Linked DNA regions of Oryzias latipes. The main gene of each other region encodes a partner of the protein of the gene in region 2 in a complex. Links are inferred from orthologs where the notes say so. Each region holds a gene or a part of one and is shown on either strand. Other genes may lie near its edges.

Evidence for each region.
Region 1: gtf2f1 (region 2) and polr2g share a complex: the UniProt entries of both Homo sapiens proteins name them as parts of the TBP-based Pol II pre-initiation complex. The link is inferred for Oryzias latipes from reciprocal best matches to the Homo sapiens genes GTF2F1 and POLR2G.

Annotation. Positions count from the first base shown.
Region 1 is NC_019868.2:13,737,558-13,742,038, forward strand, and holds the start of polr2g (DNA-directed RNA polymerase II subunit RPB7), read right to left. Parts: upstream 2,833-4,481; 5' UTR 2,594-2,832; coding exon 2,582-2,593; intron 2,334-2,581; coding exon 2,224-2,333; intron 2,054-2,223; coding exon 1,894-2,053; intron 1,716-1,893; coding exon 1,665-1,715; intron 1,556-1,664; coding exon 1,490-1,555; intron 1,353-1,489; coding exon 1,281-1,352; intron 658-1,280; coding exon 624-657; intron 1-623. Other genes in the region: uncharacterized protein LOC101155778, read left to right, coding at 3,231-3,299, 3,373-3,540, 3,632-3,731. UniProt on the Homo sapiens protein: Core component of RNA polymerase II (Pol II), a DNA-dependent RNA polymerase which synthesizes mRNA precursors and many functional non-coding RNAs using the four ribonucleoside triphosphates as substrates.
Region 2 is NC_019866.2:14,106,204-14,110,709, reverse strand, and holds the start of gtf2f1 (general transcription factor IIF subunit 1), read right to left. Parts: upstream 3,030-4,506; 5' UTR 2,763-3,029; intron 2,537-2,762; 5' UTR 2,492-2,536; coding exon 2,480-2,491; intron 2,179-2,479; coding exon 2,132-2,178; intron 1,953-2,131; coding exon 1,880-1,952; intron 1,540-1,879; coding exon 1,346-1,539; intron 1,030-1,345; coding exon 859-1,029; intron 788-858; coding exon 582-787; intron 470-581; coding exon 319-469; intron 156-318; coding exon 100-155; intron 1-99. UniProt on the Homo sapiens protein: TFIIF is a general transcription initiation factor that binds to RNA polymerase II and helps to recruit it to the initiation complex in collaboration with TFIIB. It promotes transcription elongation.

The DNA.
Region 1 (4,481 bases), on a different chromosome or scaffold from region 2:
ATTTTGAATTCTTCTCTTACATTTGGACAATATTTTATTGCTTATTAATGCCATTTATATGCAATTTACAAACTGAAATCTGACAGATTTACTTTCTGAGTAATACCTTTTCAAATAATAATCACTGTGATTTAAAAATATGAAAATATTATTGACCAAATGTTACCATTAAATCATAATACTGCATTGAAAACTGTACTAAAACAAATGACAATTGTATACTGTGAGGTATCAATTGCGTTGAAAATGTACTGTTTATGGTAAAGAATCACTGAATATTTGGAAGAATTAATAAGTTATCTATTTTGTGAGATAAAGGAAGTTGAAGATCATTTTAAGAAGGTCCTTCATGTAAAACTAAATCCTAAACTTCAGTGTATAAAATGTTGTACGTATGTTTGAATATTAGAATTTCCAAATGCTGGCACTGAATGAATTTGATGACAGTTAAGAAAAATAATACAACACGAATGAAAATAAATTTTAATTTAAAATAGTAACCAAACATATTTTAGATTCTAAAGTATGTGTTCTTTTTATATAAAGATCATCATCGTCTAGTTATGTTGTTGTTTGATTGAAAAAAAAAAAAAAATAATTCTGACTTGACATTTAATACTCACCCAAATAATCATCCATCAGAGATCCGATGGCAAACTAGAAAACAAAGAGGAAACTTGTTTCAATGAATAGTTTTGCACAATTCTTTACATGGGTATTTCGACAAGCAGATGTTTTAGTGAGGTTGCTTTTATTGTAATCAGGCTTTTGACTAACTGTCAAACCAGATCCTGCTGTATTCAAACTAAGCTTGTTGTTCTTCTTTTAAATGGTTTGAAAAAACACCAGAAAGTCAAAGAAAGGAACATTACAAGAATCCATATGGACCTAAAGTCCCAATCCAATCATCTTTTGATCTATTGTTAAATTGTTCCCAGTGGTCTTTTCATTAGGATTGTGCTGCTTTTGGCCAAAAAAAACAACAAAAAACTGTGATGTTCTCTGGGACATAGTTTCTGCCGAATGGTAGGAACCTTCATCAGAGATTCACCTCTGAGTTGTCAGCGGGACTATTGGTGCAAAGTAATCCTGCGCTAATTTCGTATCAATCCTCCGTCTACACTCTTTCCCACTAGCTTACAGCCCCAAGATGACAATAGTGCGAGGAATTTTTGGAGCTATCCAGTCCTGGCAGCTCAGTCAAGGAAAATGAAGATGTTAATGGATCTGTGTCGCTACTGGTCAAAAGATCAAAAATAATATTTATGGAAAAAACTTACAATGTCATTCTTGTCCACTCGTGTTCCCACAATCTTCAGTCGAATCTCATCATCTTGCTGGATTACAATGTCCTAATAAACACAATAAGAAATGTTCATTAAAATCAAATGTATCACAAGGATTAAAAACTGAAAGAGAAAAGTAGCCTTCAATGTCTCTGCATGCTAAATCTACTATTGCATAAAACAGACAGAGTAATGACACATACCTCGTCAACTGTTTTATAGCAAGGTGGATTGGAGTTGGGATCAAATTCCATTTCTGAAGGGATCGACTGGGAGAATAAAAAAACAATAAAATACACAAACAATAATATAAAAACATACCTACATATTAGGTCAAGATATATATATAGTAAAGTGTTAAATGTTACATAAACTTACATGGCGAGAAATGAAGCAGGACATGGGACCAATTTCTGTGAACAAGCCAACCTGCAAAGAACCCAAATTTTGTTAAAGGAGGATAGAAAATGTATTTAAAGAGACTGGAATTCAGAAAAACAATTCATGAATCTACGTTTTCCATGTGAAAAACAAGCGTTCAACAAAAGGATCTATTCCATGGCAAACATCTTAGAAAGGCCTACAACAGGTACTTATGGGTCCTTACCTTGTTAACCTGCGTGACCACAGCATCCACCACTTCTCCTTTGAATGGGCGGAACACAATGGCCTTGTACTTGACTGGATAGAGTACAAAACCTCTACCTGGCTGGATCACACCTGCCCCAATGTTGTCAATAGTAGTGACAGCAATGACAAAACCATACCTGGGAGAAGGGACACAAGCAGGAAATACTGTAGGGATGCAGTTCTAAGCTTTTTTATACAAACCAGCATTACAGAAAAGTGAATGCAAATGCTTGTTATTTTCAGGACAGACTAGAAACTTACAAAGTAATCACACTTATGCACTTATTTATGATTAGCTGTTACTCACTTGCCAGTGCAGGTACCTTCCACTTCCGTGAAGAGTTTCTGTTTCACTGTGTTGAGCAGATTTGGACCAAAATACCGTGGATGTAGTAAGATTTCATGTTCCAAAGAAATCTGTAAACACATCATGATCATGGCGTGGTTATGATCGTGCTAACTTAAGAGGAAAAACTTTCCAAATAACATTGCTGTTACAAGCCGATCCAAACAATGGAAGATAAAACTTCGCTGATATATTTGGTAAAAGGGATTTGAAAAAAGTTGTGTGAAGCCGCCTCATTATCGCGCAAAAACCGAAGACGAAAACCTCCCTTCATATCTATTAATACTCTCATAAGGGGTGGAAAAGTTCAAGTACTTACATGATAAAACATATTGTTGTATATAGATGTAGATTCTTTCTTTGATTGTTTTGCACTGTTTTGTCCAAATTGTGTTTCCCTTATGCTAAAACAGCTAGCATGAAGGCATCGGTGTGTCAAAACGATCTCTTCCGGGTCACATGAGATAGTTGCCCTTTCATTGTTTTAAAAGAGAAGAAATGGCACCCTTGTATTGTTAATATATAAAACCCACAGAATGTAAAATGTATATCGTGAAAATCAAATGTGTGGTTATAACTTTGAATTTGTATTTTTAAGAAAGGTTACCTCAGACCATGTTCAGCACTCATGACTGCTGCCCCCTACTGGCGAGGAGGAGCCGACGCAACAGGGCGTACTAAAGAACAGGCGTCACTCAGCGGAGCTTATTCATTGGATGATTTCAACCGATTTAAGATCTGACAAACACAAAGCTAAATAGCGTCTGTGTGGCCACACGCGACGGGAAATCACCCCAAACAAGGCTCATGTTTGGACGGCATTCAACTGTAGCTTTTTCGAATTATAATATCTGTAGATAGTAATGTGTGAGATTTTTATTTTTTAAAGTAAATAATTTTAGGAAAGCCCTGGAGTATTTGAGGCGACTAAAAAGCGTAAACCAACCACAAAAAAGCGGTCTGCATTGATGTGGAGTGACATGGCAGGCAAACTCGTCTCCAAGTTGTTGTTTCGGTCGTCCTTACTAACTCAAGCTGTGAGTAGTTGAAAAGTCTTGTGTGGTGTTTGTTGAGTCGTGCTTGTTGCTGATTCCTTCGGTGTCCACTAAGGCTCCGCCCGCGTCAAGCCTCTTACTCCAGGGGAGATCTGGCGGATCAGCGGCGACCAGACAATCCTCCAGCGGCGGTCCACCGGAGAAAATAAGTCGTTACCCGATTCCCTACAGAAAAAACCTCCCTTATGACATAGTGGAGCTTATGGAAGAGGTTGAGGCAAAGGTAAACGCTCACAAATAACGAATTCGACGTTTAAATTAAGGTTTACACTGTGAAAATGTACATCTTTCTTTCTATGTTTTGCTTCTCACAGGGAGGTTTTTTGCCCAATGTCTTCAAAGTCCTGTCTCATAGACCAGCTGAGTTCAGAGCCTTCTTCGCCTACTACAATGAGTTAATGAATAAAGATACAGGTGGGTGTTGCCTTTAAATTACCCCTTATTTTGGAAGGACGTGAAGATGAATTCAGAGACTCTGACACACACACACACACACACACACACACACACGTTCAAACTGCAGTTCCTGCTCCGCTCCGTTCACTTGCAGACAGATCCATGTCCGTCTCTGTTTTCCTCATCCCAGCTGGTATTTGGCTCAAAACTGTACGGCTGGATAGCTCGCCGTTTTAGTTGCACCACTTATGTTAGGTTGGGCTTGTGAGGGGCTGTAGGCTAGTGTAAACAGATTGGTGACGGGAAGTGGGGGCGGGCTTACTCCGTGCCTAGAATCCCGCCAACAACCCAGATGAATTTCTCATGAGCTGCTGCCGATGTGCAGAACATATGTCCTAGAAAACGACACAGGTTTTTGATTTTGGCTAAAAATGACATAATCATAATAAAAAGACCAGCGGTAACACTTTAAAATTGGATCAAAAGATGGTTGGAGTGAGATTTAACCCAGAGGTGTCAAACTCATTTTCACTGAGGGCCACTTCAGCATAGTGGTTGTCCTCAAAGGGCCAGATATAACTTATACATGTAACTAAATGTAATGAAAAATAAATGTAACTACTCCTTAATGTTAAATAACTCATTATTTATTTGTTATAACTTTTTAAAATTACAGTTGCATAGAAAACATGTTTGCTTGTTACTCTAGCACAAATACTTTAGAATTTTGTCCGCTTATTAAAACCCATGATCAAACTGTCCAAATAA
Region 2 (4,506 bases):
CTATTTGAGCAGAAACCAACAGGGTAGCCGTTCATTTCTCTATAAAATGTCCTTTTTAAAAAAAAAACAGCTAAATGTTCCTAGTGTAAAAACAAAAACCTTTAGGGTGCTCCTCCTGTTTGTTTGGCTTCTCCTTTGTTAGCTCCTCCTCTGAACTAAAAAGGAAACAAATGATCTAAAAGTGTCACGCATTTAGCTTTAGTTTGAATTCAAAGAACGTAGAAAATCAAAAATGCAGACTTGTTCTTCTAAAAAGACCAAATAAAAACATGTTCTTTCTTTAATATGTATATGTGGTAAATACGCTGAGGAGCCCACCTGCTTTCATCTGACATATAATCCACCTCTAGACCCTCATAGTCTCCATCATCGCTGTCTTCCAGGGCATCCTTCTCATTGCTCTTTTGTTTCTTTTTCTTTGCTTTCCCTTTGGCTTTGTCTTTCTTTGCCTTTGCTTTGTTTTCTCCATCTGCAAACGAAGAAGAGACGGAAGCTGCAGGTGAGGAAAATGAGCTGACAGACGTTTGGAGGAAGGGGCTGAGCGCCCTGACAGTTCTGGAGCCTGCTGCATGGATCCTTACCATCTCCCATGCTGTTGTCGCTGTCGTCGCTGCTCATCTCCAGGTCTTCATCCAGATCATGAATTCGCAAATCTCCACCCTTCCCGCCCCCTTTCTTTTTCTTCTTTCCGGGTTTGTCGGCGTCATCGTCATCCTCCTCGCCCCGCTCCTGTTCCCGGAGGCGTCTCTGAAGCATGATGCTGAAGTGATTCACCACCTTGTTCCGCCTGGACAAAGAAGGAAATGACTTTTAAAACACAAAAGGCATTCTCCAAGTCCAGCTTGCTGCTCTGCTAACCTGCCCCACTCCTCCTCAGCTTCCTCTGCAGTCAGAGTTCGGTGCTTCGCCACCGGCGTGAAGTTGTACCAGCCGTGAACGGGGAAAGCCTCGAAGGCTCCATCAGGACACTGCGTAAAGATGTAGTAGGATGCATTTTCTGTCACGCCGCCCTTCTTTATACCTTTGAACCTGATGCAGAAAGACAAATATTATAGCCAGACTGAAGATTGTAGAACTGGAATCATAGGAGAATCTTGCTGCAATAAACATTTTAGGAAAAATAAAAAACACACCAACAGATTTTGTTAAAAATTGGTGAGGATTACACCAAATCTTACTCAGTACGAAGACGTATTTGCTCATTTTCTACAACGGTTAAATAAATATGGTTTATTGATTTTCTTTATTTGAAGAAAAAAAAGTCATAACTTCAAGAAAGCCTGCAGGTAAATTAAAAAAAAAAAATGTACTTAAGTTTCAAAAATAGAAACATTTATCGCTTTACCTTTTTCCTGCTTTTCCGTTGACCTTTAAAATCCACGGCTGATCCTCCACCTTGAACTCTCTGGTCACAATGCCATACTTCTTCCGCCGCGCTTCCTCGCGCTGCTTTTTGCCAAACTCGCTCCCTGCCCCTCCCTCTGGTAACTCCTCCTCGCCATATATTCGCCGAGCACTCAGGTCGCGTTCCATGCGAGCCTGGGGGAGTGACAAAGCAGGATATTTAACTTAATACCTTTTTTTTTTTTAGAACTTTTATCAAACAAGGGAAGTCCCATCGAGATTAGAAATCTCGTTTCCAAGGGAGACCTGGCCAAGAGGCACCACATTTCAATACAAAAAATACATTTAAAAAAACATCATTAGTACCACATATGTCATAAAACGCAGTTGCTTTATTAATCCGTACTCCCTTGTATTTTGTCACAAATTTCTGAATTCCTAAGGATGTTTTAAGAGATCTTATTGTTTTTAATTATAACCAAATTTAAAATATAGATTTACTTTACTGGAGCAAAAAAGAAGACATGAAGCCCACCTGTGTCCAGGCCGAACAGTTGACTTTGTCTCCAGAATTAAAAGCCATGATGTTGTACTTCTTGCTTGTATTTCTATGGGGCAAGAAAATAAATAAAAAAATAAAAAGAGTTGTTTTTGCAAGGCGGAGTCAAGTAACACGTTGACAAATTTAGGGCAGAATGATGCAAAACATTACTATTTCAAAGGATAACGGTGTCATTTCTGTGTTATGGTCAACATTACTAACACATTACTGCTTTCATTTACTCACTTGGGGACTCTCACTGTGTATTCTGTAGTCGAAGCACTGCTGCCCCCCTGGAAGATGGTAAACAAACAAACAAACAAACAAATAATGTGGAATTTCTATTAAAAAAAGGTTTTGCTATAAGATCAGCGACCTTCTGATTGAATGAGTTTTTGCCTGCATGCAACTCAGGCTTTACAATTAGTCTCCACTGATAAATTCGTGTAACATTGTCTTCTGTAGCGCAGATTAATAAAGTTTTCTTTCCTGCTGTAACCGGAAGCTGCCGGGCTAAAATAGCTTAAATGAAACGAAAACATTTTACATGTTAATAATAATAAAAATAATCATTAAAAAAAAGTCAGAACTTACCAGAGATGTCATGATTGTTTATCAACAACTTCTGGATTTGCCAACACTTCACTGGAGCTATTAAGGGTTTACAGAAAAAGAAAGGACATTTTAGCAGGTATTTCACTAATGTTTAGTGCAACATGATCATGTCGGCCATTTTCATAATGTGTAAAAATATGATTACGTTTATTACAAAACTAGTTTTATAGACGGGTTAGAAAAAAACAAATGTTCGAAAGCAAACAATCACCGAAAACTGGTTTTATTGTGAAAGAAAATAACAATGAATGCTGAGTCTCACCAACCCGGTCGTAGAGATTTCAATGGTTAGCTCTGATTAGATCATTAGATCTCCAGCACGATAAACGAGCTCATATGGTCGTTTTAGTCCAACTTCAGACCGAGTGAAGATGCATAAAAGGAAAATGAAATACAAAAATAGTGTTGTTGTTTTTTTTAAAAGAAAAAGCCCCGCATCTCCGAGAGTAAAACACTACTACTGGTGTACCGGTGAGGTGCGCGTTGTTGCAGCGTAATCGTTCCGTCACTTTTTACGGTCGACAGGAAACCTTGGCACGTCACAAATAGTTCCTATTGAAAATGCAGACAGTAACTGGAATGAAAGAAAAAAAAATCAAACTAATAAGTAAAAACAGACTTACCAACAAAGAAAAACATATAAATTAAATTTGTTTCCCTGAAATGTAGTTTAAAATTTATAAAAACTTTATTAAAAAAGTAAAACATTATTTAAAAAAGTAATTAAATTAATTGTTTCCTTTAAAAAATAATGATTAGGCTGTGAACACAGTGTTAAGAGCCGATTATGCTTGAGTGCACCTGAATGTAAGGAAAGGAAAGTGTAAATGCCATTCACAATTTTTACAATTTGACAATTAATCTGTGATCATGGCCGGCCCTCCCTATACGCGAATTACGCAGCCGCGTAGGGCCCCCACATCACCAGGGCCCCGAAGTGGCGAAAAAATAAAATAAAAAAAAGACCCAAATCTGGCAACCTATTTCATAGCTGTGAATGTTGTGCAAAAGAAAGTTGGCTGCACTTTAATGATCCCCCTTGTCAACAAACCTGAACCAATCTGGCAACCCAAATAATGACGTTACGCCACTCTCAGCAACGATTGGCCAACATCACTGCATCTGAGCCTGGCACAGTGTGCATTTACGAGCGCATTTTGTTTCAATAAAGTTGAGAAAAGAAAAAAAAATAGCTCATTTTGTCACGCTGATCAAAGCGACAACAAGAGCACTTCATGCCAAAGAGACTTTATCCATCAGGAGCTGAAAAAAGATGAACAACTTCAGCATCAATCACAAGGTAAGTTTGGAGGATGATGGGGCCATATTTTTTACATTATCCAGTATTTCTGTGCATTCGCGATTTAAAATACTAATTGATCCGAAGTTCGGTAAAGTTAGAAAGACAGGTGAAGTTTGCACATAAACGACCCCGTTTGTTGTAATTTCCAATGGAAAACTCTAAAATAATTCTGATACCCAAGTTTCCTGGATGAGGTCAGACAGGACCTTCCAAAACGGCGAAGAGAAGATTAAATAACGACAACGGTGATGGCTGATAAATGTTTAACTCACGTTATTGTATTGTTTAATTGTTTTGCTAACACATATTTAGTGCGTTCTGCATTTTCCGGTTTACGTCAGTATAGAAACTGCTGTTTATCTGTTATAGACAGTCTGGTAGTCTGACTTTTTCAACAATGTGTCTTAAAATCTTGCATTGGCATGGAATATGGAGAATCAAAACTGCCAAATACAAGTAGGAAATAAAGGTTCTAATTTATTAATGACAAATAAAATAAATGTACTCATTTTAAAATTATGAACATACAAAATAATAGAATAAGAAGTGTATAAATGCTTATATTTCCATTTATACTCAAATTATTATTCACATTTATTATTTATAAATAGGTACATTTCTTTCTCATTTGTATTTCGCAGTTTTGGTTCTACATAATGAGGATGTTTTGCACAGTTCCGTGTCAGCCAACATTTTCTTCTGC